5 linked regions of the Oryzias latipes genome follow. The protein of the gene in region 1 interacts with the protein of each later gene in a biochemical or structural test. Links are inferred from orthologs where the notes say so. Each region holds a gene or a part of one and is shown on either strand. Other genes may lie near its edges. The genes, in order: smurf1, rhob, ube2m, mothers against decapentaplegic homolog 5 and pdlim7.

Region 1 (6,688 bases):
GAGGAAGATGCAAAAAGCTGTCTTTGAAATCTGCTGTGTTTAGACTACAGCAGGTAATGAATGCTATATGAGCCAGTGTGATTGATCTTCCGTACTTCCTAACAGCGAGTTGGCTATAAATTCAGTGCAGGAAGTCTCTGGCCAGTTTTGCTGACGTCTGCGTTCTCACATGCAGGTTTCCAATAACATCTCGGGCAGTTTTCAGGGACTGCAGTTCATGGGTAAAAATGGCCGTGGGCTGTCAGGCATCCTGCTGCTTACGCAACGCTGCTCATTAATAAACATCCAAACGATCAGCTGACTGAAAACATTCAGACGAAACACAAGGCGGTTCTGTAATCTGTTTCTCAGACTTCAGAGTTCTTTACAGGCTATTTCTGATGTAAAAAGGCACAGAGAGAGAATTGACAATCAGATTCTTGTTTGGCGGCAAGCAGACAATAACAGCGTCTCTGAAATGTGGCCCAAACTTGCCCGAGTCCCTTCCACAGAATCACAGGCCTTTTTGATGTAGGCCAAACAATCGCTGTCTGGCAAAATAAACAGAGCAGGTCAGCCTGACAGCACAGTGCTCCCGCCAGCTTAATGCACAGTCTTTACCCAATAAAAATTCCTATAATACCTGTGTAGGCGGGGCAAACTCAGGGGAAACAACATTTGACAGAGTCTAGGCTGGAATCAGGAGGGAACGCCTCACCAGCACACAAACACTCTTCATTTTTCCATCACAAAACAACTTAAAAAAATAAAAAGACAATCGCTCATGGTTTAGCCACTTTTCTCCCAGTAGAGAGTTGTATAAAAATAATCAGCTTTTTTTATTTTTAAGCGCCTTTTAAATTAAACAATCAAACTCACGTAAATGCAAAATAAATAAGCTTTATTGATATAATGAAGACCGATTTATTGGTGGGGTTTTGAAACCCATTCAGGGTGTATTCAGACCAGACACCAAAGCAGCAGTAAAGTGTTCTACCTGACATTGACACAGACTGGGAAAATTGGTCAGTGAAAAATAAAGTTTGAATACTGAACTATCCCGACAAGGCCTCCGAAGCGCAAGACTTCCAACATTTTTGCCTCCCGTTGCTTTGCCCCACCGTTGTAATTCCTTGCCAATGACTGAAGAGATCTTTAGTCACATGGTTTTGTTTCCAAGCTTTGATCCGGAACATGAGTCCCTGGGTAAAGTCAGTCTAGATATAGTCCAAATGCACGGTTCAGGACTTTATCTGGACCAGACTAAGCGGACTCTGTACGGACCAACAAAATAGACACTCAATTTAACCTCTGGGTGTATTCAGACTGGACACATTTTTTTCGCTTAAAGTGAACCAGAGTTGGTTTTAAATTGGCACCACAAAATGAAATGCTGATAAAACAAGAAATTTTTACTTCAAAAACTAAAAAAGTGAAGTTTTGTTTCCATGAAAGAAAATCGTAAAATTGCTGTGAAGTTTATTCAACCATAAATTCTCAGATCAATGTGCCATTTTTTAACTGAAAATCCCCATCTTTGTATCTAAAGCTGACTTTAAATTTATGTGTGAAACACAAATATTTGGTTCTGTTGATTTTTGTATCACTTTTAGCTTAACTGTAACTATCCTCTCAACTGTAAAGATTCTGGCTTTTCTTTTTCACATTCAGCTTGAATGAGTGACACCTTGGGGAGTAAATATAAAGGCTTTATGGGAAGAAGTAGGTCAGGTTTGTGAGACTTGCTCTAGTAGACAGCATGTATCTGCTCTAATCCCTTAGAATGCAGACTTTAGACACAGGATATAGAAATACACACGTGCAGCAAGTGTCTAACCACTTAAACCACCATGTCACTTCAGGAGAATCGCAAACCTTCCACAGGAACAGCAATCACTTTATTTCCACTAATGTTTTTTCTGCACCACTTCAAATAAAAAATAAAATTTCAAATAACAAGGCAACGATGTTTTGCGTGTGTGCTTATTTAGTTTTGAATCAGGCATTCTGCTACATTAGTAAAAAAGTTCATTTCCAGTTTAGGGTTACCCTGCAGAATTCCCATCAAACATGTCTGTTTTGTCTGATTCTGAGTAAAATAGAGTGGAAAAGAAAATGAGTCAGAGACAATTTAAAGTTTGACAGAGGTTGGACTTGTGACATAGAAGCTACAGTCGATAGGCAACAGTCTCCCTGCTCCGCTCCATTCTGATTAATCCACTTATAGACCACAATATCCATGCATGGCTCTCTTTTCTTCGTCTGAGCTGGCATCTGGCTCAAAACTGTACAGCTGGATAGCTCCAATATTGCTCGCCATTTTTGTTGCACCAGTAATGGTAGGTTGGGGATGTAAGGGGCTGGGAGAGCGCGCAAACAAATGGGTGACGGGAAGTGGGGGTGAGCTTACTCTGTGCCAACAGTCCTAGGCACAACACAAAGGCAAATGTCAAATGAACCCCTGCAGCTCTAAAGAAAACGACAGGTTTTTTGATTTTGACTAAAATGGGCATAATCATATTTAAAAAACCACTGGGAATGCTTTGAAAATAGATCAACAGATGAATGGAGTGGGTCTTTAACAGAATAAAACAGTGGTTCTCAAACTATAATACATACATATTTAGATATATCCAATAGTCTCAAACTAAAATTTGTATTAAACATAAGTATCCATAAATAAAGTCATAAATTGACATTTGCCATCAGTAGGCTGGTCAGGTTTTAGTCTAAATCTAAAGGCCTTGACATTTAACGTGAAAAAATTGTATTGCTTTGGTGCTGCCTGTCAAATATAATTTCCCTTAATAACCAAAATATAATCAGGATCAATTCGGTCCCAGTCAGTGATGTTAGTGTGTTAACACACAAAAAGTAATAAATTCTTAACTAAGGATTCATTATACATTATAAAAATGCCCCTTAAAAATTTTGCATAGTTAAAAACATTAAAATGAACCATAGATTACACAATCTTGAGCTTTAATTTTCTTATCTTTTTCATGTCTTTATTGTATTTATTATATAGGTACCAAATATATTAAAAATATCTGCTGGATAGGAGCTTTTTTGGCCTAAAATAATATTTATAAAGATCAATTTAAAAAAAGTGTAAATGAAGGCTCTAACCCTGACAGTAGATCTCAGATACCTCAAGAACAAACTTCAGAGGAGGCAGAAGTTCAGCGAGTGTAGCTCTAGCTAACACCAGACGATCGATGGCTGCAGTTAATCTAGGGTAGCATGTCATATTAACAGACAAATCAATGTCTGGAGAGGCTGCAGGTCAGCTCTCATTCTTGTAACAGAGCCCATAGGATTCAGCAGAAGCGACGGGGCTCGGTTGTCTGTCCACCCTCCAAATATGGGTGTAGCTAGCGAGCGTTACGAGTGGTCAACATTTACTGCAGTGTTGTAAAGGCTAGCGCTAGCATCCTACTAGCCCGAGCAGCTAATTAAGTTTTTCAACGACTTGGTAAAAGGCTGCAGTTTCACCAGCTCGTCATTGCGGCGTTTTCACTTCGCTCAGCCGTAAAACGAGCAAAAACTGTCAATTTATGAATTGCTCGTACGGTAATTTTGTTAGCATGGCTGCTAACAAGTTAGCTGAGCCTGCTACAGAAAACCGGATGTTTGGGCAAAGAAGCACCGAAAGGAGACAGATTGACTACTTACACATAACACAGCAGAGATATGTGGACTGGGGTGGTAGTTTTTCCACAAAACTGGTACTGCAAACAATTCATCATGTAATTATTTCCTTTGTATTTTTACCTGTCAGTCGAATTTTGATGCTGGACCCGTTCCTCCGACTCCCAGGATTCGACATCACTTCGGGAGAAAAAAGGATCAGTCAAACTTCCCCTCGGAGACAGCCCTCCGGAAAAATCACAGTTTCATGAAAGAGCGGGACCGCAAAGACTTCACTACAAGAAGACGAGGGCTGTTTTCTTCATGGATAAAAAGACATAATTCCGCCGCAAAGTCCTGCGCTCCTTCTAAATCCAACAACACGGGAGAACATTTTCAGGCAGGCTCAAGCACGTAGCCGGCTGACGTCATGTTCTTGACGCTACGTGCTCGCTCCAGCAAGTGTGCGCGCGCCAGCAAAACATTTCTCACGATTTTCAAAACAAATCTTCTCCGAAAATTAATAAATTATTATTATTATTATTTAAACAAAACACGAGAGTAGAGAGAGGGGAAAAGAACAATTAAACAATCTATGATAAAAAACAATACTTTACTCAATATTTTGAGAGCAATTTAGTTTTAACTCTACAAGAACTAAGGGATCTTGAGGGGTTTTCCCTTCATACAGTGACCTAAAAGTATACAAATGAATTTAATATCAACATTTCCCTCACAGATAGACATTAATTCATTTTCCAAGTAAACTGTTTTCAACAAACACATATAATCAATTAACTGCTATTAATTCAGTTGATTTATTTATCCTAATATTTAAAATATTTGTAATAAAAAAACATGGATGTACACAGGAACAGTTGATCTACCCGTGTTGCTCTGAAAATGTTCACTTTAAGCAAAAGCTAGAAAACAACTTTTTAAATTCCCTTCTTTTTAGAGAGCAGGAGATCGTACAGCTTTGGGTGAAAGCATGAATATTATGTCTATAAACAGCTTTCCAGTGATGAGTTTCTCTCTGCATGTTTGTAGGTGAGACAGAAAAATAAAAAAAACATCACCAAAAACATTCATCATGGGATGGGAGGAGACTTTAGGGGTCATATGGACCATAACTTTAATCTTCATTCCTGTTATCTAAACTGAAGCATTTAAATTGATGTGCTTGAAGAAAAGTGTACATCTATAAAATCACTCACACAAACCCTTTTTTTTATTTGAAGGCTACAGTATAGATCAACATATTTGACTATTTTTGTCTTCCCAACATTTACACTTGCACCAACGTGAAGCCTTTTAAATCCTAACTGATTATGAAGAAGTACGTTTTATTGAAATACGAACACAACTGTTAGAAATTTAGCAGATACTCCAAATGTGGAAAAGTTTATGTACAGGTATTACTTAAGAATTAATTAAAAATAATCACCTTTTTAATCCCTTTGAGGGTCTAGGATGGTAAGTCACAGTTGTAATTTTTGTTATGACTAACACTAGTCAGTTAAGAAAAAAAACAAATTTAGTGATGATTTTAATCCTTAAATTACACAAAAACTTGTATTAATATTGAAGACATGGAGATTAAGAAAATATACCATTTTCATTCTTTTTTCAGAATAGAGCCCATTTAGATCTGAGTTTAACAGTTTTGAGAGAAGAGCCAAACAAAAAGAAGGTCAACAGGCAAACTTGCAGATCGGAAGCATTGAGCATTTGTTGCGTTTGTGAGGAATGTGCAATGCACTTGTGTCTTGAGATTGAGAGAGCAGAGCATCTGGGATTATGGTTCCTGGGATTTGGCTCTTTAGTAGCACCAGGGTGAGCAACACGCTTTTGATATTAGCCGAGGAAACAAAGGAACCTGTCTACTGCCTGTTTACACGCCACAGTAAATCCACAAAACCGAGCCACATACACATCCAGACACAAACCCACAGTTTACCAGCCAACACGTGCAGAGGCTTTACAGAAGCTCACACTCCCTCACAGAAGCAAAAATCCAAATGAAAAGTATTTTTTAAAGGAGTAAATATTCAACCCCCTGCTGTAACTGATATTAACTTGTTATAAACAGATTCACAATTAATTTCATTTATTTTTCTTGTTTTAATGCCTGTGATAAATAATTTTTGCTGATAAATTCTGTTTCTATGAAGCATTTGCCAAACTATCCTTACAAAAGTGAAAAAGAAAAGTGTTATAAGAAAAAAACGATATGTTTGTTTCCAAAAACATTTTCTTTTTTTTTAACTTATTGCTAATTTAAATGGATTCTGACCCGGAAAACTCAAATGAACTGTGTTAAAGCAAAGAAGAAAAGACAAAAATGCAAATAATTGGATAAAGACTTGCTCTCTTGATATAATCAGACTTCACTGCAGCCCCCTATTGGACATAAAGCAGCTTTTAGATAACAACACAGCTTCTGTCAGACAGTGAAAGCACAGCCAGACATTTGAAAACATCTGAAGCCTAAAGTCTCCAAACCTTAACTTCTCCTCAGTTTAAATAAAAATGTCTCATGTTGCTTCTGTAAAAGTTATTTGAGGTTCAGATTCATAATAATCCCAAATATGTCTTTGTTTCATTTGTAAAATGCCTCAAGAGCTTGTCTTTGGAAATTTCTTAGAGTCTTGCTGACGTCATTTCAGCAGAAAGGAGGTCAATGGTTTGTTTTCAATAAAGCACGGATGCCGTCAAACACGAGGGCCTCGTGGCATGCAGGAGTACATGGAAAAGCCTCACAACTCCACCCATCTGCTGAGGTGTAGGTGTGCAGGAGATGTGGACAACTTTAGGCAAAAGGTCAAGAATTTAGGCAGAAAATTCGTCTAACAAAACGTCTAAAATCTGCAGGAAATAAAATGCAATGAAAGTCTGGAATCAAAAGGATGATATTAAAATAAATGTAGATAATAATCACAGGTTTTCTGATTAAAAGCTATTTCCAAAAGCAATGGAAAATCACAGAATTAGGTTTCAAACATGTTCTCAAGCAATTGAACAACTAATGTTATAAGTGTGTGTGACTAAGTTCTGACATAAACATTTTTTAAATTTA
Region 2 (6,566 bases), on another chromosome or scaffold:
TGATCTGTCTGTAAAACGCCTAAATTCTTTCCACAACGACATCATCAGAGCTCTCAAAGAAACAACCAAGAATGTTAAAAAGTATGTGAAAGTGACTGACAGACAGATAGATGTGGACATTCCCTTACCATTGGCTGCCAGATTCAACTAAATGATTTTGACTCTCAAAAATACAACATAGTGTTAATCAATTTCTTTGCAACCAACAACACAACCATAAATGCACCAAAAAGCTGAGCAATTGACAGACAATTACGGTACATCCTTTTATCTCTGTACCATTACTCCATGTAATTTTGTTCATTGTGTCACTGCAGACTAACAATTCTTTTCACCCTCATGTGTTTTCTTTATGCCTTGTACTATTTAAAAACCTCTCTGGGTTTCAATAAATACAATTTTTACTGCACAGAAGTCTAACTCGTTTTTTTTTAATATTTTAAATTAATTTTCTGCTGTTCCACCTAAAACACACACACAAAAATGTGCCTCTTAAAAAATATGCTGAAAACAATGGAACTAGATAGCACTCCCAAAGGGACATTAGTCATTAGGAAGTCTAAGTTAAAAATAGTTCTTGTGACACACCATCTTTCTTGTCCTTAAACAAAGCTGGTTGGTGCACAAAACAGCAGGTTTGTGTGTTAACAATGAAATTCACACCAAAACATTCTATTTGCAACTGCTTGACTCGGAGAGAATGACTCATTTTCCAGTTGCAGCTCTTACATCATTTGAGCAATAACTGATTGTAAAATAAATACCCATGATTACCCTATGTATAACCTATCACATGCGACAAAAGCCAGTTTTCTCATAGTATTTTTCAGACACGTTCCATTTTTTTATTATTAACTGTCTGCTCATTAGATGTTAGTCCTTAAGTTTTTAAGACTAACATCTATTAGTCTTGATATATTTCATGGAATGTTCTTATTACTGACTAAAAGACAAAGAACTTTATATTACATATTTAAAGTAAATAAAAGTACAACACCCCAGCTCTTTATGAATATGTTAGAAATAGTAAATATTTACTGAGAAAGTAAATTGAAAAAAAAATCCACGCATATGCATTTGCCAATAAATATGTTATGAAAGTATTTTAAAATTCATTTTTATGGGAAAAAAATAATTAAAGCAATGAAAAGTGAAATGTGTTTTTATTGACATTTCCAGAGCAGTAGCAGTTCTTCCCTTAAGCCCCGTAAAACCTTTTCTGTACCATTACGAGGCAATAACCAGAAAGACACAAACAATTTGGCACAGTCCTGCCCATGTTTTACTGAAAAAAAGATGAGGCAACCTGCAGCAAGCAGTGTCAGAACACTGTAAATCAGAGGCACAAGTGAGGCCACTGTGACAATAAAAAAAGTCCAGCACAAAGCATTCCCATCCTGTAAGTCAGCACAAAGCCTAGCAACAGAAGGCAGACAGGAATGTGACTTTTATACCACTCCAACTCTGCCTAGATTTGTTCAATATAAAGGTTTTAACTTAAGGTAACTTCATTATTGATTGTTAAGGTTTTTTTCTGTTTTTATGTACACATTTAAAATACTTTCTTTGTGGAAATGTACCACGAACAGAACAGCTGGAACAGTAAATCCACCGGGTTTTTACAACAGATCGCCGTGTAGCAACAGTGTCAGTAACTGATGTCCATTCAGCAAACACTCCCACCAGCATGCAACGGGGTGGTTACACAAGACGTCTGTGTAGCCACACAAGAGCTAGGTTTATTTCAGAAAAACACATCTGTTCCTATGAAGTTTTCCTTTAACAAGAAAAAGTACATTCGTTGTTGCAGTTGCAAAAGCCCTTAATTAATACAAATTCAGTAACTGTATTTTACAGCTTCAGTAATGGATCACGTTTACATTCAAGAAGCCTTTTGTTCAAAGTTTGTGAATTGGATGCAAATAAGTTTGGATAAAAAACATACAGTGATGAATCTAATGTCCTTCCATAAGTTATTTGTGTCAAAGGAACACATTTTCTTTAAAAAATGTCTGTAGTGTTTTAAAAAGAAAATGCATCCCAGAGTCAAACCATGCAACCTGCTCTCTCTTTAATCCCATAACTTTAATTTTTTTTAAAAGAACTTCAACTATTTACAACTGGTTCCATAAGGGCTAGAATTTCCAAACAGCCTTCTTGTATAAAATACTGTGCGACACTGAGAAGAAAAACACTTTAAAGGATCTAAAAGGTTAACCATTTTCAGGAAGGCAAGCTGGGAAGTTCTAACTCTGGGATGATCCCAGATTGTTTCATTTTATGTGAAAAACCTATACTTTTGTAATACAAATATGGTTTATGAACTGTAAACTGGAGCTTTTGTCTAGTAAAATGTAGCAAAAACTTCACCCAACACTATTTGCACCGATATTTATAAATTGTTGTAGTGTCCAACACTGCAGGTTGACAAAAATGTTATGGCACAAACTGGTAATAAATTATTATTTTTTTTCTTTTCTGTCTTTTGAAAGTTTACACATTGTAGTGACCTATCCAGACTCAACAATGAAAAAGAACAAAAACTTTGGCCCAGGAGCAGGCCTTCGACAAGGACGTGTCCACATGGGAAGTGGGTCAGGTTTCTCTTCACCCCCACCAGCCAGACTGTGATCATGTGACTCACAAAGAACAAAAAACAAAAAATACAAACATTTGTTGATATTCATGCGTGCTCGGGGGGGAAATGAGGGAATACAGTCTGCTTGTATTCAGTCAGTGTGTGGCTCAATCAAGGGCGTATGACTCCAGCAGGGGAGTGCCCAAACCATCAGGCCCACGCGTGTCCAGACGCCTCAGCGGATGGATAGCAGATGATTCACATTAAAACGCAGCATTTAAAACAACCATCTCCGGGTGTTCTCCGCTTTTGCAAGGCCGCTCGCGTTGCCGTTTCAAAAACCTCCCAGATCCCCTCTTTGGTTTTGGCAGAGCACTCCAAATAGTCATAGGCGCCGATACGCGCCGCCATGGCGCGTCCGTCCTCCGCCTTCACGGGCTCCAGCTTCAAGCGAGACAGCTCGTTCTTGGTGTTTTCGTCGTTGCGCAGGTCCTTCTTGTTGCCCACCAGAATAATCGGCACGTTCGGGCAAAAGTGTTTCACCTCGGGGACCCACTTTTCCGGGATGTTTTGCAGCGAGTCGGGGCTGTCCACGGAGAAACACATGAGGATGACATCAGTGTCCGGGTAGGAGAGCGGGCGCAGGCGGTCGTAGTCTTCCTGTCCGGCCGTGTCCCACAAAGCAAGCTGGACCTGCTTGTTGTTGTCCACCTCAATGTCCGCCACATACGTCTCAAACACAGTCGGAACGTACACTTCGGGGAACTCGTCCCTGCTAAACACAATGAGCAGACACGTTTTCCCGCATGCGCCATCCCCGACCACCACCAGCTTCTTCCGTATGTCTGCCATTCCTGCCTTTTCCTAGGAGGTCCCCCTCAGGCGAATCATCCAAAGATACTGACGCGGTCTTCTTCTTTGTCTTCTGGTGCTGCTGACCCTGTTTTTGTGGGCAAAATCTAACCAGTTAAACCAGACACTTAATTAAAAAAAAACTCCCAACCATCTACAGGCCAGTGGGTGGTTTTATAAAGCCTGTGCGCTTTCCTAAATATAGCAATCCAATCGGAAATGGGGAGGTGAGATCACACTTTGGGAGATGAAAGATGATTGGCTCCTATGGAGTAAGGGGCGTGTCCAAAAACAAGAAGAACCATACCGGCTTCTAAAATCACCAAAATCTGTTAAATAAAGCGGAATCACGGATTTTTTTTTAATCTTCATGTATAGCTTTTTTTAAATATTATTTTTATGTTAGCTAATTTATATACATTAGCCTCAAATTTGTAGAATAAACCTGTAAATAGAAATCAGATACACAGATGATAAAGTTTTCAGATAAGTACAAATAGGTCGATTTTTGTTTTTGTTTTTTTGTTTCGGAGTTGTTTGTTTTTGAATTTTTTCAACCCGTCAGGAGCTGATATGCGTTTGAAGAGTACATGATACACATGATACAGGAAAGATAGATTTACATTAGCTTTGTTAGACGTGTGTGTCCACGTAGTTCGCTCTATTTACAGGGAGGGGGCACCAGCGAAGGCACAGCGCTTAGCTGAAGCTAAATCACCGCACTCAAGGAAACAAAACAATATAGAATAGGGTTGACGGTGTGCAGCGAGCACAGATCCTCTCTCGATACAAAAAGGCGTGAGTATTTTCCCCCCTTTTGTGCTCATAATACAAACACGGGCGCTACGAGACGACCGCCTTGAAGCAGTTACCGCAAGATTAATATTTTCTCTTTTGTTTAGCGGTAAAGGCCCCTCTATTTGGAACTTGAGGGGGGCCATGTTGTTTAGCCGCTGAGTGTTTGGCTGATGCTTTAGCTCTCAAAACAGCAATTAGCTTCTATTTTAGCTGACATGGGTTGCTTGAACTGTTGAACATATTTGAATGTGATTGACAGAGTCAGGAAAAAGTAAGAAATGATTACAAGCCATTTTGCAAACTAAATCATTTAAAATCTCCACTACTTTGCTGGTTAGGATTGTTTAATTCCCAAACTGAATTTGACGTCTGGTTGTAACAAACCAAAAACAAACACAACAGGCCCGCTTTCCTTAGCATTAGCCGGTTAGCCATGGATGTTGCGAAGGCGAGCTTCTAAATGATGTCTTTTGGCGTGAACATGTTTTGTTTAATTAGTGTGATTATTCAAAGCTAATTTAACACACCCGTGACAACTGCCACTGAGTCTGTAACAATAATCTTTATTTTTCGTTTTAAAAAATTGCTAATTGCTGCTAACTTAGCTTGCTCATTAGCACCGGACTTGCTAGCAAGCTTAGCAAAGCGGTTTGTTCTTTGATTTGTCTCAACACTAAACGCTTAATTTTTGCCGTTTAAATTAATTTTCAAAATTATACAACAATGATCGTTTATAGTTTTTGCCTTGACCAAAATAACAATTTTGTAAGAGAAAACATTTATGTTATCGTGGTTAAAATTACCCATAAATCTTTACCATCGTGATTTTTAGGCTTGCATATGTTTATTAATATTGTATGCTAATGCTGCACCAACAAGTTTATTCGTGACCACACTATAACTACGGAGTTATTTTACTGACAAATTTGAATGCTATAAGCCAGCAATCGAAATAAAACTAATTCAAAAAGCAGAAATGACTGTTGGGTAATTAAGCTGCTTAAGAAGAAGTGATTACGTGGAAAATACTTATAATTCTGAGTGAATCCTTTTATTAGAACCACCTTGTAGGCTTTCCATGATAAAGCAGAACTTATATTTTAAGCAACAAATAGTTTTGATGTTTTCTTATGAACCTAGAAGTTCGATTTTATTTTGATTTAAAAACTAACCTTTCAGCTAAAAACATCATGAAACAGGCTCTTAACGTCAATATAACTTTGGCAGAACACATTTTAATAAATAAAACTCGTTAACGACCGAGTCCGGTGTAAATTTTGTTTTTTACATGCTCCTGTGTCATTTCTCTGGTGATGCAGGACATCAAGCTAGCAGGACAGAGTGTAAACAGAGGGATGGTGGGAAGTGGGGGCAGGCTTACTCCACGCCACTATTCCCTTCCACAACTAGGAGGCACATTTCTGATGAACTTGCGCAGCTCTGCATAAACTATGTCCTAGAAAATGACACAGGTTTACTGATTTTTGGCTAAAAACAACATAAGCATAGCTAATAGATTTTGGGTGATATTTAGGCATGTCGATGTGTTCATATTAATGTAGCATTTCTTCATGCTTTGTCTGTGTAGGTTTTCCCGTGGAATGAGCGTTCCATGCAGCATCCTAGGTATGAATGACGTGGGCTGGCAGGAGACGAGGGGTGGGGTGCTGCACGCAAATGGCGCTCCTGAGACCGGGGGCATTAGGGTTCATGCTGGAGGTCCCCTAACCACAGTTGGGGGTGCTGGGCACCTACAAGGCATGGACAGGAATCCCAACCTTACTCCGGGTACACCCCAACCTCCGCTGAGCGGGAGATCTCAGGATGATGCCACAGTCGGGTACTTCTTTCAGAGACAGCCCGGAGAGCAGCTTGTTGGTTGCACAATCAGTAAACATCGCTGGCCTACTGGAGATTCTAACCATGTTGATCAGGTATAAGCCTTAATTACAAACTGCTGCACTACTATGTAGTTTGATGTGAAGTAGGGTTGTGCCGATGGACGATATCATCGTCCATTGTGATGGGTGACTGACATCCCGATGGAGAGACCACCATCGTGATGCCACGCCCCCGCCACGTTGCGCGTCGACATCATAAGCCGCGGTTACATGTACAAAATATCTTGATGGGATCAATGGTCGGATTAGTATCCAACCGTGTACATGGGCCCAGAAAAATGTTTTCAGAATATAAAAACGTTCACTAAGGTCACAATTTCGGTCGGAATAAATCATTCGCACACGCGCAGTATTCGCACATGCGCAGTTTGAAAACCGGAAGAGGATACAACTTCCGCCGAGCGGCTTTTTTTCCAAACTTTATTGAATATAACAAT
Region 3 (6,430 bases), about 19 Mb from region 1:
ACCCCTTAAAACCCCCAAATGAAAATAAAATGCGCCTTCTATTTAAATGCAAAAGTTCCGAACCAAACAATAGCCCCACCCATCGGCGCTCCATGTTTTAGCAGCAAACTCCAAACAGGTCTGGGTTGTTGCTCGCCGTCTCCAGATGCCGCATCATAAGCTCCTCCCACAAAGATCAAGATCCGCTGATGTCATCATAGAAGCATTTTAAGGCGTGTTCATTCAAACTTAGCCACTCCCCATATGAAGACCTCAACTCTATAAGCCCCTCCTCCTTTGAGTCTCCTGATCCTGAATGTTTCCTGAGGTTGCTCCACCCCCTCCTGTCCAACCCCCCCCCCCGACCCACTACCTAATGTTAAGGCGGGTCTTTCTCCCCTCAACCTGTCCAGGTGGGATGGGGGGGGGGGGGGTCTGGAGTTTGCTGCTGGCCTATGGACCACAGAAAATGTGGGAACGGGAAGGGGCGTGTCTGAATGTCAGCCTAAAAAAACAAAAAGAAATCCGGCAAATCTTCATCCTCATCAGCGTTGGGCTGACCCCCCCACCTTCCATAAAAACAGCTGGACATAAAAGAATGTGAGAGGAGGGGGCGGAGCTTCTTTCTTCTGCGTGTGACTTCCTGTTTCCTGCTGCGGCCCCCCAGCAGGGCTGAAGAGCAAACGGGTGGGGGGAGGGTGAGATGGTGGGACGCCCAGCTATTTCAGACATCTCTCAAAGTAGGTGGCGCCCACATAGCCCCCCCTCAGGGAGCGATGGACATTCTGCTCAAAGAGCCGCCGGTTCGTCTGCAGGACCTCCGCCGCCTCCTTGTTCAGGGGGTCCTCCGGGTTTGGCTCCTGGGGGGTGGAGTCGAGCGTCAGTCGTGTCAGTGACACCAGCAGAACCGCGGGTTCGGACCACCTCAGGGATTCACAGGGGCCCAGACACCAAAAGAACCGCCGCTGCACGGTTCCGTTTGGTGTCCAGTCCAACTGAGAGAACCCAGGGAGTCGCTTCAGACGAAGACTGAACCCAAATACAGTCTAGAACCTTCTTCTCTCATGGTTCCGAAACCAGAAACATCCGGAGTCACAAAGAGTTCTGAGCTTTGTTCCATCAGGATGAGTCTTCTGAAGGTTCTCCACCGTAGAACGGTTAAAGAACCTTCAGGTCCAGTTCCAGCTTCTGGACCTGAAGGTTCTTTAACCGTTCTACGGTGGAGAACCTTCTGGTCCAGTTCCAGCTGGAGTCTGAATCAAAGCAGGCAGAAGACCCGCCTCCACCGGTTCCAGGTTCTCTACGTTGGGCTGATCCCACTGGGTCCACTGTTCCCTAGCAGAACCGCTCTTCCAGATTGCTCCTAGATTTAGCTACGGAATGGGGGGGCAGCTAAGGCGTCCCCTTATCCAAATACGCCCCGCCCACTGACAGGAGTTTCCCAGTTGGGAGGGGCCCAGTGGGTGACCCTCCTGCAGTATGATTGGCTGACCAGCAGACCCCCCCCCCTCCCCCAGATCATGTGACGTGTCTTACTAGAAAGAGATACTGCAGACCGTAGATGATGGAGTTTATCGTCAGAACCGGCTTCCAGTCCTCTCTGTGGAGCAGAAGAGCACACATGAACCTCCAGAACCCCCCCCCCCCCCCCTCGCTGTTCGGATCTCCGGTTCTGAAGAACTGACCTGAGGATGTTTAGACAGACGTTTCCTTCCAGGTCAATGTTGGGGTGGTACACCATCGTCTCACACTTCACTTTGGGGGGGTCGTGGGGGTAACCCTGTCCTACCTGAAACACAAACTCTTATGATGTCTGCGAGCAGAGAAGGGGCGGGGCCAAATGACGCGTTTGCTGACCTTAAAGCTGAAGACGAACTTCCCTCCTTTGTAGAAACCCTGAGACAGAAACACAGGTTAGCTGCAGGATGCTGCCCCCTCCATGCCCCCCACTCTGCCTCAAAACCCCAATGTTGTGACATGGCTGTGGGGGGGCCACAGCTGAAGCAGCCACTTACAGGGCAGCACTACAAAATATGGAATCTATGAAGCATGGTGGCGGAGGACTAATGGTATGGGCTCAGAGCCTCCACCCCCAGAGTAATCAGAGTACTCTGGTATGACAGGCAAGGCTCAAACCCATGACACGCCCAGCCCCCCTGGAGACCCGTCTACCAAAAACTGGTTTTGCCTGCGACTGGATCCGACCAGCACCGCAGTGCCACATGAGTGTTCCGCCTGACAGCCCGCACTCTGGGTTTAGCTCTCTGTCTGTCATCTGTCTGCAGTTTAAATAAAGTTTTACATGAGGTCCCTGACGTGAACACAAGCAGCAGCAGGACTTTGACCAATCATCTCAGGGGAGAAGAATCACGGAGTGGATTCATGAGGAACATGATGATGAACAATCATGAAGAATTCCTTCTTTTTGCTTCCACTTGGTTTGAAATTCCCTCCGGGAGTTCAACAGGATACCTGGCTTTTATTCTGAAAATCCAGGTTAACTGCTGCTCTTTGAAATGCTCCAGAATCCAGCAGGAACACGAGGAACCTCGGCTACATGATGTCCATCTGTGGTCACATGACCCCCCCCCCCCCCCCCCACACACACACAGCCGAGTGTAAACGTGAACGTCTGCACTGCTAGGAATCAAACACGCACCTCATCCGGCGAGATGATGAGCCTGAAGTTGAGTAGGTCGTCATCGTCGGGGAAGCTGATCTCGCACGTCTTTGGCAGGTTCAGCTCGTTGATGTCTGGAACACAAACACCTGCCGTTCAGGATCCTTCTCTTCATCACAGGACAGCACCTGGAGGGTGCACCTGGAGGGCGCACCTGGAGGGTGCACCTGGAGGGCGCACCTGGAGGGTGCACCTGGAGGGTGCACCTGGAGGGCGCACCTGGAGGGTGCACCTGGAGGGCGCACCTGGAGGGTGCACCTGCGCACCTGGAGGGTGCACCTGCGCACCTGGAGGGTGCACCTGCGCACCTGGAGGGTGCACCTGCGCACCTGGAGGATGCACCTGCGCACCTGGAGGGCGCACCTGGAGCCAGCCCCACCCTACCTGAAATAGCTTCTAGCTCTGGACATCATACTATGTTTGCATTTAGGCTCTGCTTAGACATTTCAGATTGGACAATTAAATCACCCGAGTCCCCCCCCCCCCCCCCCCCCCACTCCTCCTGTTTGGTTCTGGCCAACTTCACTCCAGATTTGCCCCCCTGTCCCCGGTGGAAGGCGTGTACCCCTTGTGCTATCCTAGGCACTTTAACATTGGGAGTGGGGTCATCTAGACCCACTAGACAGTGGGTCATCTAGACCCACTAGACAGAGCTCTGAACCTTTTTTCTTCAATGATTTGTGATCTTCACTGGTGTCCATGGATTACATGAAATCTTTCCACCTTTATCCACCTTTGTCATGGTAGGGAGAACACCTCAATGGAAGGAGGGGGGGGGGTCATCTGAGATAGCACAAGGGTTAACCCCCCCACAGCTGCTCATCACTTTGTTTTCGAGGTTAGCCGTGGCTAACAGCTAGCAGCTAGGTTAGCATGCTAGCCGTTAGCCGGAACTGTCGCCGCTGCCGGCCCGGACTTCCCTCCGTCCGGGGACCGGAGCTGCCTGAAAGCGCGCAGACAGCAGCAGGCCCTCCCGGAGGACCGGCGGCGGTCCCGGGCCGGTGCAGAGGAGGAGCCCACCTTTCTGTATTCGGAGCTGGGCCGCGCTGGCTTTCTTCCCCCCGGCTCCGGCTCTGTTTCCTCCAGCAGATTCCTCGTCTTTCTTCTGCTGCTTTAGAGAAAACAGCTTAATCATCTTCACCTTTTGATCAGGGGGGGGGGGCAAGCTAGCGAGCCTTCGGGTTGCGCGGTCCCTCCAGGTCGTCTGGGACTGTTCGGAGGTTCGGATCGGTCCTAACAGCACCGGAACGTGGACGAAGCCGGCGCGTCTGAACGGGTCTCTGAACGCGGCAGCTGCTAGCCTGCTAGCCTAGCCTGTTAGCGGGGGTGGGGGGTGGGGTGGGGGTGGGTGTCATACGGACCCCCCCCCCCCCCCTGCTGTGAAGAAGTTCACTGGAAAAAATGTAAACAGAGAAAAGTGTAATAAAGTTGAAAAACATTGAAATGTTTCTGTTCAGATTTGGATCGAGCTTTAATTTAAAACGATGGAATTTTTACAAATATAAATAAAAATAACAAAAACAGTAACAACAAAAACTTTGCATACTTTGGTATTAATTGTACTTTTGACATTTTGCGTTTATTACTTTAATAATAGTCATTTTATTCTCTGGGTAACATTTTTCTGTTTCAAAAATTACTTTTTTTTAATTGTATGTTTCCTTTTTTCTGGGATCCTGAAGTACTCATTTCTCTGTGCGCGTGCGTTTAGGGGGTGCGTGCTCGGAAATAGTAAATGGACAGTTTTATTGCTGTTAAATTCGTGCAACAGTGAATTGATATTTCCCATAATGCCCTTTTCCACCCACTTCCCTGTTGTGACGTCACCAACAGAGGTGGGGCGTACATGCTGTCGCTCCCCATTTTTATTTACTTCATTTATTTATTTATTTTGCTGTTGCGTCTCCCTCCCACTCTGAGGCGGCGTGTGCGGTCACCTGCGTGATGTAATCAGTGCGGAGGTTAAACGTGTCAGGGCGGCGCGCGGGCTCCGGATCACGCTTCTCACGCCAACACTAGGCGCGAGAACAATAGCCGCGCACAGCGCTCACGCCAGCGGCTCCTGGCTGCGGGGGTTTGTGCGGGAGCGAAAGGAGCGGCGCCTGCGTGATTGCGGGGAAGGACACGCGGAGAAGAAGGCGTAAGCTGCGGGTAGAGAGAGATAGATCCACGCTGCAGAGAGAGAGGCGGAGTGCACGCGCATCCATCCGAGGCCTGATCACCTGATCGATATCGATCAGTTTCAGATCGATGTTTGGGTCCCGCGTGCGTCTCTGAGGCGGGGAGGATGGGTCGCGCGTGAGGGCTCCGGGGCCGCCGCGGCAGAGAGGTGTGCGGGGGGGTGTGATAAGGAAGCGGCGGAGCTAACGGGGCTAACCGGAGCTAACGAGGCTACCGTCCATTCTGATGAGCCACAGACGAGCATGCGCGCCCCAACGAACAGGTGAGAGACCGTTCGCGTGCGTGCGTGCGTGCGTGTGTGTTTGAGGGAGAGGGAGGGGGGGTCCATCTGTCCCGGTCCCTCCGGGGCTTCTGCACCCGGTACCAGGGGGAGCAGCCGCGGGGGGGCAGACAGCCTGCTAACCTGCTAGCGCATTAGCATGCCTTTCCCTCGTGATCAGGTGAAGTGAGGGGTGGGGGCGGAGGGTCATCACAGGTGCGTGATGGGCAGATTACCAGAACTAGTGGCGTAGAACGGCTGCAGGGGTCCGCGCTCTCACGCACCGACCTGCTTACTGTTGGCCTTTAGCCGCTGCATCTGCGCACTTATGCTCACCTGTATGATACCAAGCCCCGCCCCCAGGTGAGCAGTCCCTGACCCACAGACCACAGCAGAATCTTCTGGGCCTGCAGCTGAGACCAGGGCAGAAGCTCAGGTCCAGACCTGCTGATTCTTCAGGTTCTGCAGGAGGACTGGGTGGTACGGTCCACCTGCAGCCCCCGGAGCGGTCCACCTGAGCTCCAGGAGCGGCTTCAGATCAGCTGTAGGTTAAACTCTGTAGACGTTTACAGATGAGGAGGATGAGGATGATGAGGATGAATTCTATTTGTTTCCTGGAACCAGAAGTCCCCCTTCAGGATTCAGACAGAGTCAAGAACCCAGATGACTGGATGTGAGTCAGGAACGAGTGAGAACGTCAGAGTAGAACGTTGAAGAACGTCAGAGTAGAATGTTGAAGAACGTCAGAGTAGAATGTTGAAGAACGTCAGAGTAGAATGTTGAAGAACGTCAGAGTAGAATGTTGAAGAACGTGTGAGAACGTGTGAGAACGTCAGAGTAGAATGTGTGAGAACGTCAGAGTAGAATGTTGAAGAACGTGTGAGAACGTGTGAGAACGTCAGAGTAGAACGTGTGAGAACATCAGAGTAGAATGTTGAAGAATGTGTGAGAACGTCAGATAAGAATGTTGAAGAATGTGTGAGAACGTCAGATAAGAACGTTGAAGAATGTCAGAGTAAAACGTTGAAGAACGTGTGAGAACGTCAGAATAGAATGTTGAAGAACGTGTGAGAACGTGTGAGAACATCAGAGTAGAATGTTGAAGAATGTGTGAGAACGTCAGAGTAGAATGTTGAAGAACGTGTGACAACGTGTGAGAACGTCAGAGTAGAATGTTGAAGAACGTGTGAGAACGTGTGAGAACTTCAGAGTAGAACGTGTGAGAACATCAGAGTAGAATGTTGAAGAATGTGTGAGAACGTCAGAGTAGAATGTTGAAGAACGTGTGAGAACGTGTGAGAACGTCAGAGTAGAACGTGTGAGAACATCAG
Region 4 (5,984 bases), on another chromosome or scaffold:
TTAACATTGGGAGTTGGGTCATCTAGACCCACTAGACAGTGCGCTGAACTTTTTTCTTCAATGATTTGTGAACTTCAATGGTGTCCATGGATTACAAGAAATCCTCTCCACCTTTGTCATGGTAGGAATAACACGTCAATGGTCATCTTGACCCCATAAGAAAGCACAACGATCCAAGTCTGCTAAAAAAATTTAACGCGGTCCCAGGCTAGTTGCATTGATGATGATTCAACAAAGAAATTCCATTTTTTTCTGGTTCAATTTCCTTCAGTCGAGTGCAAATGACACCTCTTCCTCACATCACACAATCAAAATCATCTCACTTGAGACCAACACTCGTCAGAAGTTTTCTTGTCTACGTTAGAGCGACAGCTGAGTCAAACAATAGCCTGGCAGGTTTCCCAGGGTCAGGAACATGAATGGGTGTGATGTACCTGGGAGTTGGAATGGACTGGAGGGTCCCGAGCTGACAGGGGAGTTTGGGTAAGTACCACAGCTGGCTGGAGAGGGGGGATATGGAGAGTTGGGAGAAATGGAAAAGGAGCCACCCCCGTTGTGCGGCTGTGGAAAGGACTCCGGAAAGGTGGCGTTTAGGGGCATGTGCGGCTCGTTGTGGGTGAGATTGCGAAACTGTGCAAGCAAACTGTGCTGTGGATTGAACTCGCTGTGTCGCGGTACAAGGACAGGAGGCAGCACTGGAAGGTAGAAAGAAAGATAAAGGAGACAAAGACATTTTTATTTGACACATTAAAATCATAAAAATAAAATTAAATGTTAAGAAATTTCCATTATACCAAACAATCGCTAAAAGACCTTTTCTGTTATAAGTAGTTATTAATGGCTAACCCCCTCATAAAACAATCAAACCAATGAAAGATGTATACCCTCTTAAAAATATATACATTTTTTCTGAACTTGATTGTCAAGTCAAGCAAACTCTGGTTAATTTAGTAGATTATAAATTTACTAGCAAATGAATTCCTGTCTGGTTCTTTTTAGCGAGAAAGCAAACTTAAGTTAACCAAAGACCGGAAGCAAACTAAAGCTGCGTTCACAACAAGGGCGAGTCGCGGTTTCATACGGACTCAATAAAAAGTCTTGCGATGAATTTTGAACGTCAGCTGCAGCGCGATTCTCTAGAGACAGCACGTTTTGAACAGGGAGGCGAAAATTCAGCATATTTCCAGAGTTTAAACATCAAAACTTTGGTGAAAACTTTGTTCTGCGTCAACCAATCAGGAACTCAGCTTTGGCCCGTGACATGCTGTTGACGTGATCAGTGGGTGGAGTCCAAAACCAGCATGGAGGAGAAATGTTTGTTCTCCTCCTGAACTTTGTGATATTTTTCTTCTTTGTAGGGCGACGATAATAAAAAGTTCCTCTTATTTTATTTTTATTTTTTCTTTTCTCAGAGTAACGCGGGACAGCAAGTCGTCAGACTGGGTCACAGAGAGACGGAAGCACAGCTGAGAGCGCCGTCATGCAGACACAGCGCCTGCAGTAGATGGTGAACCTCACCGTACTGGCAGAGTCTCTGAATGACCTCATGAACCCATACATGGAGACACGATGAAGAGCTCTTTAAGATAACTGATCTCTCATCATCATCGGTGGCTTCCATGTGGCGATGAGGCTAAAAAGCTTTGACAGCAGCTCATCCCGGCAGTGTCGGGAGCATCAGGTTTATAAACACACTTTTGGACAAGTGTTAAGCAGCTAACTTGATACACATCAAAACAGAGGCGCAGGATGCCCAATAGCCATACGGGGAGCATAAAAGTAGCCTTGCATTATGAACTAGTACATGCACAGCATTGATTCAAAAACTACTGAATCACCAAAAAAAAAAGTCTTTTTGGGGTGCTTTTGCAGAAAAAAAAAAGACGTTTGTTTGGAAGAAAAAAAAAAACTAAGTATAAAGCTAATTGTCCTTTTATAATCTCGATACACTTCCCATCGTTCCATCACAGTGTTTACCTAAGAGGCATTTTAATGTCTTTATGTAATTTGTGCATTTTCAAGTTCTTTCCAGATTTTCCTTAGCAATACAAAGCGGCTTGAATCACTCTTTGGCACTTGAACTATCTGCTTACATTTACACCGTCACTGAAATGCACCAGGTGTTTAAAAAAGAATGAAAAGGTTTGCTTTCTTGGTCATAAACAAGGTTCAGGTGGACTTTCCTACCTGCACACGCAATGCAAACCAAACAAACAGGCCAATAAAAATAAGCATCATAAATTATTAATACAATGTATAACTTTTAACACAATGTTATTTACATTATTTGCAAAGAAATATAAATAGCAATGCATTTTTATAATGGAATATACCATTAACACACCAAAGCATTGAATTTAGACACCCAACATGGGAGAAAAAATGAAGAACAATTTCACAGAGGATTGTCGCTTCCAGTCCCTGAGGCTAATGTAGAAGCTGCAGTCACATGTTTAATTAGCCAACCATAATGTGACTTTGCTGAAAACAATCTAAATGTCTTTCTGAGCTGGATGTAACAAAATCTAACAAAGGAGCCAGTGATACACGAAACCGACAAGTATATTCGCCACCAGAGAAACGCATCTCAAAGCAACAAAAGGGGTCCTCCTTTTTTGTCTCCCAACGTGACGGACGTTAAACTAGGGAGGACGGTTCGTGAACAGAACATGCTGGGAGTTTACTCCGAGGGGTTTATGCATTTACTGAGCCACTTTGATGCCACACCCAATCTGGAGTGCCTGAGGCATATAATCTAATAAGATTCTTAGAGCTAGTGGTATTGATTTTCTGTGAAATGGAGGAGGCGGGTAGAACGGGCCAGTGAGGACAGCCTCCTGACCTTTGTGGATTTGTTTACCGAGCTCTTTGGAACTCGAGGTTCTGAAGGATGTGTGCAGCCCGACATCAGTTAGTGTGCCAATATGAGAATTGCGCTTATGGTTTTAATGCCAAAGATTAAAAAAAAAAAAAAAAAAGAGGAACATTTTTGACATAAAAGGTTCCTTAACATCAACAAACACGAATAACTCAAATGGAAATGTGTGAAATCTGACAAAGTTTTATCGTTTAAAATTTACAAATAAAAAAGCATATTTAAAGCAGTTAAAAGAGCAAAGTGCAAATATTTCAATAAGTATGATATCTACTGATACTTACCAGGGCTTTCCACGCGATTGTAGTGGTACGGATTGATGCAGACCTCCTTCTGTTTGGAGCCAAATGGATACTCGCACCCGTCCAGGGGCTTCAGCTCATGGTGGGACTGAAGGTCCGGCCAGCGCCACACTCGACAGTAGATAACGTGAGGGAGACCTTTCCTGTGAGAAACCTGCAGCCGGCCATCCAGGGATCGTGGAATGGTAACACACTTGCTGGGTTGACCTGGGCAGCTCAGGGCTTTCTCCAGGTCTTCCATGGCGCCCTTCTTCTTTTTCAGCTTTTTCACAAGTGCATCCACAGCCTTTTCTGCCCATTTCTCTTCCTCATCTCCTTGCTTCCACCCAAGCAGCCGTTTGACTGCTGGGCTTGTAAAAGAAAAGAGGCTAGACATGGACGACATGTTGCACAATGTAGTCTAGCCCAAATCAGAGAGCTGCGTGGGGTAAACGGTCACCCTCCGTCCGTCCAAAAGAATTCAAAAAATGATGGTACCCTAAAACCAGTCCAAAGGCTTGATCAATCAAACGAGCAGTGTAAGAAAGCAAATGAGTGGACAGAGATGAGGGTGGAGTGAGAAGACTAGCCTTGTCTGACCAAGGACAGGAAGCAGGGGAGGAATGGGAGTCAGCAAGCAGGACGCAGCTGCTGCTGCTCAGGAAAGGCCCTGCAGCAAGCTGACCGTAGTCGGGTCACCACTACTAACCGAGGGAAAAGTTTCAAACTGCAGGGGCTGACATCAGGACGCCTGTGTCAGAAAAAAAAAAGACAAAGAAAAAGAAAAAAAAGCCTTATAGGAAGACAACCATATTTCCTGTGTGATGTGTTCATCCAACGAAGCTCAGTATGAAGTCACCACCTTTCTGCAAAATGAAAGAGACAGCAGATGTTAGGGAAAAGCAACACAGAAAATATTTGAGATGATTTGGATGCTAAAAAAACAAACTTTTCTTGCTTCGGTTAACTTCATCGGGACTAAGATCAGTGTTTATGAGTTCTGAAATCATGTGACAAGCACTTGTCTTCATCAACAGGTTATTCGAGAAGTCTGCCATCTTCTTTTCTCTATCTTACATCAGTTGTAAGGAAGTTCAGGCATGCTTGCTGAAACATGAATGACTCAACCATCTGAAAGGTGTTGCATTTCAAAGAGTAAACTTTAAGTGAAAATGAAAAGTATCTTATCACCCAAAACTGAGAGCTGCTTACACACTCTCCAGCTATCTTACGGCCTGCCAACCTAACATTGCAGGTGCAACTAAAACGGTGAGAAATGTTGGAGCTATCCAGTCGTACAGTTTTGATCCAGGTTCCAGCTCAAACAAGGAAAACAAAGACGTGCATGTGTAACCGGATCATTTCTGCGTTGTGTTTAAGAAAGTCAAAAGATGTCGGGACACAGCAGCACAACCTCCGTTTATTGCGTATCGGACAATTTTCCAAAAAGAAAATAGAAACCACGGTGTTAGCATCCCGTATTAGCTCCTACGTGAAGGTGAGAGGTAGAGGGAGCACAGGAAATTCTTATACTGAAATAAACAGTTAACATCTACAAAGGTTTTTTGTGTTTTCATAACAGATTCCACATAATAAGAGTATAAGGGACAATAACTAACATAAAACGAGGATTCATATGGCTATCATTACAGGGCACCCACCTCTCCCGCTGGACAATCAAACAAAAAGGAGAGAGGGAAAGCAAGCGCCAAACTTATAAAGAGAGAAAACCAGCGAAGAAGAACACATTAAGGAGCGGCTACACAACCCAACACAGAATACAGGGGGGAAAGAAACTTAGGGACAGATAATATTTTGTGTAATTAAAACTAACAGATCACGTCCTGTACACATGGATCCATTTGTCTCCAAGTGGATGCATCAGAATGGAGCAGAGCAGGGAACTCGCTAAGTGCATCTTCTTTATAAAAATAAGATCTTTTTCAAACAGCATTTTTTGTCTGCTTCTTATTCCTGATTTGAATAAAAAAAAAAAAAGAATATTCAGAAAGGCTATTCCGAGCCTAATTTACTTATTAAATGGCCTCCATGTTAAAAACACCAAAAACAATGTTCAGAGCGCGACTTATTTTGTTCTAAGCGTATGCAGACCAAACAAATGGAGTTCAAACATGTGCAGCCGCAGCTGTGTGGAAGTTTGGAAAAACTAGTGGAGTCAGAAAGGATGTAAGCCGCTTCCTCCTCCATCTCATCTCTGCCTGATTCCTCCCATCAAGACCACAGCTGTCCAGCAGTTCTTATTGCTCATTGTTATACACCCCCCCCCCCCACCCACACAAAAATCAGTAGGAAATCATAGATGGCAGGACGTAAAGCCAAAGACAAAACTGATCACCCAGCTGGTGTTTAAAATTACAACAAAGAACCTTAACACAACTGAATTAACTAGTCTGCTTTAACCAACTAAAAATAGCTCATCAACTCACTGTTGAATTGACCAAACCAACACAATGAAATTAATTTGACCATAAAAATTACATTAAAATCGGGGGCAGTTCACTATTATCTTTTTGTAGACTTATCAAGCAAGATTTTAAAAAAATAAGTCGGTTTTAAACGAGTATGTACGCAACTTGTTTATCTTTCCGACAGTAATAATACGGATTTACACAAATGTGCACAAAACAATAATTTATACTTCCTAACATCCAGAACATCTGTGTTACAAGTTGATCTCTTAACAGATTCAATCTGAAAGGTGTAGAAGTTTACTCGCGTCCTTCAGGGTTTGTTGTCACACTTTGATTTCTCCTACAGAGTCATGATCCGGCGCCAACGACACACAAACGTGTCTTCCTATCCTACAC
Region 5 (5,385 bases), on another chromosome or scaffold:
TTACTTGGCCTTATGTATATATATCTATGACATTTCAGAAAGGTATGTATAGTAATTCAATCCAAAATTGTTGTAAATAAATTATATATTGCTAAAATCGAGGACTGGAGTCTTTAATTGCAAAAAGAACGTCGACATTAAACCAAACATTTTGTGGAATTTCACTTTGACGTCCGTTAAAAGAAACTTTTGCTAAAAAAAAAATTTGCTAAAACATCTTTACTGCACAAATTTCATGGATTTATAAAACTTTATGCATTCACGCAAGAGCCAGAAGTTACCTTCAAACTGTTAAAAAAAAAAAGGAAAAGAAATTCTGGTTAAAAGGATAAAATGCAACCAACTAAACAGGAAACAAAACCTACTACCTCAAAAAAAGGAACAAAAGTGAAAAATGTAATTCTTCCGATCGGTTCTTCTAACACTCTTTGATGCCAAACGTGATTTTTGTTAAAGTCGATATTAAATTCTATAGAAATAGCTTTATTACAGGAAGTTTAGGATATGCAAGGCGGAAAGTTATAAAGTGTTTTTAATTAGACTCACCAAAAAAAATGCAGATTCTGTATTTAGTCACAGGTTTAGGGGCAGTTTATTCATCATTTCCTTACACACATTTATCAAACTCCTATAATGTAAGCTGTTGAACTTTGACCTTTCGGGATAGTGAAGCTTTCATGAAAGCACCTTCTGCTCAGAAACCTGAGCTCCAGCAACAGTCTATTAAACTTACAGAACACCGCATTCTGTCCTTAAGACCTCCATTTATATCAAATTTCATTTTAAGATGCTTTAATTATTTTGATTTTATAAGAACTTCTGTATTTTATATTCATGTTTAAAGTTCAGATGTTATATTCAACAGTCTCTAAATATAGAATAAAAGTGGGAAAATGAAAAGGAAAATATTTCCAAACATTTAGAAGCTGTTAGGGTGAATATTCTGGAAAGGGAGTTGGTAGATTTGTAAAGCTTTAAGTTTATAAAAATATTCTTTTTTTTACTAGTTTTTGATTTGTTGGTTTAAACCAAGTCTGTAAATTTACCAGTGGTTGTATAACACTATTGTAACCACAAAAACAAAGTGTAGTTTAAACTAGAAACAAACTTAACGTTTTGTAATTTACTTGTTTTTTTTTAGCTAAACATCTATTTTTTTTTTTTTTTCCCCCCTAAGCTGTTTCTTTTATTTTTTTTTAACTGGAATGGAAGATTTAAAGTCTTAATGAATAATTAGTGGGTAGTCGTAAAAAAAAAAAGGACAATGTGTACGTTGGACTCATGATTCATTTAAATGTCCATAAAAACTTAAAAAATGACTAACAAAAAAATGTTTAAATGTGGTGGAAAAACTGCAAAAATATTTTCCTACACGAGAAGTATTTTATCGAACAAACCCAGTTTATTAAACCGTGTGAAAGGTTAAAGGAGTCGTGCAAAGTGAAGAGAAGGAAACAAAACTAAATGAAAATTGTGAAGTTCATGATCTCTGCCAAACAGTGAAGAGTCTAAAATCTTCTTTTAGGAAATAACTGAACATTAATGACATGCAGTTAGATTAGATAGATTCAAATGTGGAACATTATTACATTTTGAATTACATATTAAAAAAAACAGGGAATTATTTGTATACAAGTCAAAACACAAATAACATGTTTTTGTTTTTAAATAATTGAGTTTCTTCAGTTTGTGTGGCATCTAAAAGGGTTTTATTTGAAACTTTCAACATAAAAGCTACAGAAAATTAAAGCATAGAAATAAATTCCATCATGAAACTAGTGTTTCATGTGATCTTTGACCTTTATTATCAGAACAAGAGCATGAGGGGGAGGAGCAAAGAGGAAAAAAAAGAGAAAATGTGAGTCTTTGTTTAACATTCCAATGATAATATTCTGCTAAACCGGGTTCAGTAGCATTACAGGCGCTGTGGGAGGAGCTTTTCTGCTCTCAGTACAGAAGTGTATTGATGAAATCTGAGCATTATATATATATATATATATATATATATATATATATATATATATATATATATATATATATATATATATATATATATATATATATATCAAGAGCTGACGATCTGAAATAATTTCTCGATTAGTTCCAGTAAAGCAGCAAAATGTTAATTACAAAGTGACATCTGGAGAGTTTTAGCAGCCCTAGAAGGTGACAGCATGTGAAGTCAGAATGAAGCCTCTGAAAATAAAGTCTGCAGGATATAAAAAAAAAAACAGACTGAGCTGAAGTGGCTGTGTGGTTGGCAATGCTGATCGTGTCAGAGGGCAAAACGGGGTAAAGAGGAGGTGGAGGCAGAAGTTGTTCTTTCTGCAGATGCAGCTGGCTCCTCTCACACCGGAGCAAAAGCGTGGCTTTTGCACAGCGGCTTATCCTTCTTCGAGTAGAACGTCTTACCCTCAAGGTTGATTTGGCAGAGCTTTAAAGATGAAAGAAGACAGACAGACGGAGTCAGATGGAGCAACCGAGGTGGAGGAGATATCAAACTGCACCAGTGCCAATGGGAATTTGCACAGTTTGGTGCGGGCCAGAGCGGACCCATGCGTCTCCTTTGACTGTTTTCACGCTCAGATAGGAAAAACCAAACTGAAGAAAGAGCTCCAGGTTCTAAGATGAGCTCAGATGGGTCAGGTTCTGCTGAGATTGGAGAAAAATTGGGGCTAAAAACAAAAAAAAAAAAGGGGTCCAATCAGACTTACAGCACAGACGAAGCACGTGTCGTGCCAGCTGAAGCCTAAGGCCTCCAGGAAACGATCGCCGGCATCAATCTTGAAGTCGCAGCCGTGGCATTTGGTGCCAAACATCTTCTCGTAGTCTGGAGAGGAAACAGAGGAAACTCAGATTCCAGGGAGACTTGACGTCTGTAGAACCAGGCCAAATTATGTCAACAGAACTTTACTTCTCGCCGAGGTTACGGCGCAAAGGATCTCCAAGAGCTCTCGCCTTTCATGTTTTTTTAAAAAGCTGGAGGTTAGCGCCCTTAAAGATGAGAAGACGCTACACACAAGCACTTAAGGGATTGAAGGGAAGCAATAACGGCGGATGAGATGCTGCGGATGCCAAATGCTGGCTCCGCTCCTCATTGGCCATTTGATAGTGTGATATTTGGAGCAACAGTGGTGCCTTCACAGCATGCGGGGATTAGGAGGAGGGGAGGGGGAAATTGCTCCCAATACTTGACTGGATTTGCCAGTCTCTTTCATCACGAGGACTCTGGGGAAAGTGTCAGGTTATAACGCAGCTTCTCAAGAGGCAGCGAGAGCGGCACAATTCCTGCAAGATGCTGAGGCAGCAGAATGTTTATCAGAGCTGAAGGCATTATTCAGAAAATGAGGATTGGGGTTTCTGCCTCTGCCTCTGATAAAGCAGCAAAACCCGTCAGGGGCTGAGCGTTGAGTAAGAAACACATTGCCCCGCTAAATCATTTAGAGCATAATAGAGGAGCGTGCACCTTTCATAACTGCCTACAGAGGGATGCATGGAGTAAACTGCAGCTAAATACATTACAGCAGATGAAAACATCACACTCGGTGATTGACTGTGCTGTGCAGCGCTCCGATTCACCAGACAGAAAGCCTCGGCAGCGCTGCAGCCGGGCTTCACACAGCTGTCACAAAGAGCCTGATAAAAGTCTTTATTTTGGTTTGGAAAACTTCCCATCCTCTCAGCTGCAGAGTGCTGTTGCATCAAACATTTAAGACAGACGGCCTGTGATGCTTTGTACTTAGATTTACAAGAAACATGCAGAAATCATGGGGGGGGGGGGCTCTCACACGGCCTGAGAGGTCTCCCATTGTGCGCTGGAACTAATCAATGTGCACGCTGGGATTTGGAGCCACTTTAATTTCTGCCAGTTTCCTTTTCTACTGCTCAAGTATCCCTGCCACAGACGGAATGGAACTGTCCATTCAAACTCGGGTTTCTGGGGAGGAAAGTGATTACTCCACTCATTTCTAACTGCGCTTCCACAAACCACATTATTCTGACTCGTCTGCACGTGATCCCCCCACCCCCCACCGACAGGAATAAGTCTGTCAGGGAAATTAAATAAATAAATAAAAATAACAGTGAGACAAGAACTCCCTGATCAGCAGTAAAGTAGAAAAAGCCCCCAGCAGGAGCCCCCCGGGGTGTCCAAACTGGCTATAGGGAGTCAAGTTTAGGAGTAAAATGCAGCATAAGGGGCCAGAAATCACAAGTTGAAGTGTGGAGCTAAACTGGAGCTAAAAAAAAAGAAAGTAACGGAGACATCCAGGAGTGACGCTGAGCAGCAGCAGCAGCACTCACAAACTGAAGAAGTTGCAGAGTTACACTCTAGTAAAGGTTATAAACACGCCAATCATCTTTTGATCTGTTGTGAAATCGTTCCCAGTGGTCTTTTCATTACGATGGTGCCGTTTTTAGCCAAAATCAAGAAACCAGGGTTGTTTTCTAGGACATAGTTTCTGCAGAGCGGCAGGAGTTCATTAGAGATTCACCTCTGAGTTGTAGGTGGGACACGGTGCAACTCCGCCCCCCTACCCCTTCTCTTTGCTGAGAGCTCAGAGCAGGGTGCTTGTGGCCCACCCAGAGTATTTTTAAATTTATTTATTTGATTCATTTTTTGTTTCGCACGCTGGTTTTACTGTCATGTCTTTGATCTGTTCTCGCTGGATAGCTGTTTTTACTGAATTGCCCTTAGTGGATTAATAGTTGTTCATCCATCCATCCATCCATCCATCAGTCACACAAATAAGTTCTTTTTTCAAATTGAATTTTTTGGTCTGCTCCTGTTTCACAACAATTTCAATAGAGAAATACTCAGAAATGCAATTTTGAGCTTAATATTCTTGATATATGTCCATCATTAGAAAAATACCACAAGAACAAGTTAAAAACATCAAAACACCATTGTCGTTGGCGGAATACATCATTGAAATAAACACAGAAATTAATTTATTTTCTTTCGTTTTGTTTTTTTTAGATATTCCAACGAAATGATTCACCACACAAACTCAAAATGAGCACATCAGAAGTGAACTGGAGCAATACTTTCAGGTTTTTGTGTTTGGCGCTGAGGCTTCCTCACCTTTCTCACAGTAGGGTTCCCCCTCCTCCATATAGAAGGCCTGGTTCCTGATGGGAGCCTTGCAGGCGGCACATTTGAAGCACTCCACGTGGTAGGTCATTTTCAGGGCGTGCATGATTTCCTGACAAAAGAAAATCCGATCTAAAAACCAGCTCCTTTGATTTGATCGTTTTCTTCTGTTTTTAGCTGACATTTCTGGATTTCCGGTAAGGTTTGGCCCGCTCACCCCTGTGATTTTCTTCTTGCACTTGGCACAGTTTGGCGCGTATCGGTTGTCGTGGCACTTGGTACAGTAGACGGCG

Evidence for each region.
Region 2: the proteins of smurf1 (region 1) and rhob form a complex in vitro, tested with the Homo sapiens proteins (2 studies listed by BioGRID and IntAct, with this or other methods). The link is inferred for Oryzias latipes from reciprocal best matches to the Homo sapiens genes SMURF1 and RHOB.
Region 3: the proteins of smurf1 (region 1) and ube2m form a complex in vitro, tested with the Homo sapiens proteins (2 studies listed by BioGRID). The link is inferred for Oryzias latipes from reciprocal best matches to the Homo sapiens genes SMURF1 and UBE2M.
Region 4: of the proteins of smurf1 (region 1) and mothers against decapentaplegic homolog 5, one has a biochemical effect on the other in vitro, tested with the Homo sapiens proteins (3 studies listed by BioGRID, with this or other methods). The link is inferred for Oryzias latipes from reciprocal best matches to the Homo sapiens genes SMURF1 and SMAD5.
Region 5: the proteins of smurf1 (region 1) and pdlim7 are reported together in a solved structure, tested with the Homo sapiens proteins (2 studies listed by BioGRID, with this or other methods). The link is inferred for Oryzias latipes from reciprocal best matches to the Homo sapiens genes SMURF1 and PDLIM7.

Annotation. Positions count from the first base shown.
Region 1 is NC_019866.2:19,074,663-19,081,350, reverse strand, and holds the start of smurf1 (E3 ubiquitin-protein ligase SMURF1), read right to left. Parts: upstream 4,044-6,688; 5' UTR 3,809-4,043; coding exon 3,754-3,808; intron 1-3,753. UniProt on the Homo sapiens protein: E3 ubiquitin-protein ligase that acts as a negative regulator of BMP signaling pathway. Mediates ubiquitination and degradation of SMAD1 and SMAD5, 2 receptor-regulated SMADs specific for the BMP pathway.
Region 2 is NC_019882.2:6,547,866-6,554,431, reverse strand, and holds rhob (rho-related GTP-binding protein RhoB), read right to left. Parts: upstream 3,603-6,566; 5' UTR 3,431-3,602; coding exon 2,837-3,430; 3' UTR 1,147-2,836; downstream 1-1,146. Other genes in the region: apolipoprotein B-100, read left to right, coding at 1-151; pum2 (pumilio homolog 2), read left to right, coding at 5,830-6,162. UniProt on the Homo sapiens protein: Mediates apoptosis in neoplastically transformed cells after DNA damage. Not essential for development but affects cell adhesion and growth factor signaling in transformed cells. Plays a negative role in tumorigenesis as deletion causes tumor formation.
Region 3 is NC_019866.2:193,939-200,368, reverse strand, and holds the start of ube2m (NEDD8-conjugating enzyme Ubc12), read right to left. Parts: upstream 3,984-6,430; 5' UTR 3,795-3,983; coding exon 3,680-3,794; intron 2,734-3,679; coding exon 2,639-2,733; intron 1,876-2,638; coding exon 1,837-1,875; intron 1,769-1,836; coding exon 1,665-1,768; intron 1,580-1,664; coding exon 1,516-1,579; intron 840-1,515; coding exon 699-839; 3' UTR 1-698.
Region 4 is NC_019868.2:25,747,731-25,753,714, forward strand, and holds part of mothers against decapentaplegic homolog 5, read right to left. Parts: intron 4,023-5,984; 5' UTR 3,563-4,022; coding exon 3,160-3,562; intron 696-3,159; coding exon 435-695; intron 1-434. UniProt on the Homo sapiens protein: Transcriptional regulator that plays a role in various cellular processes including embryonic development, cell differentiation, angiogenesis and tissue homeostasis.
Region 5 is NC_019868.2:19,511,208-19,516,592, forward strand, and holds the end of pdlim7 (PDZ and LIM domain protein 7), read right to left. Parts: coding exon 5,310-5,385; intron 5,205-5,309; coding exon 5,084-5,204; intron 2,831-5,083; coding exon 2,715-2,830; intron 2,435-2,714; coding exon 2,348-2,434; 3' UTR 1,383-2,347; downstream 1-1,382. UniProt on the Homo sapiens protein: May function as a scaffold on which the coordinated assembly of proteins can occur. May play a role as an adapter that, via its PDZ domain, localizes LIM-binding proteins to actin filaments of both skeletal muscle and nonmuscle tissues.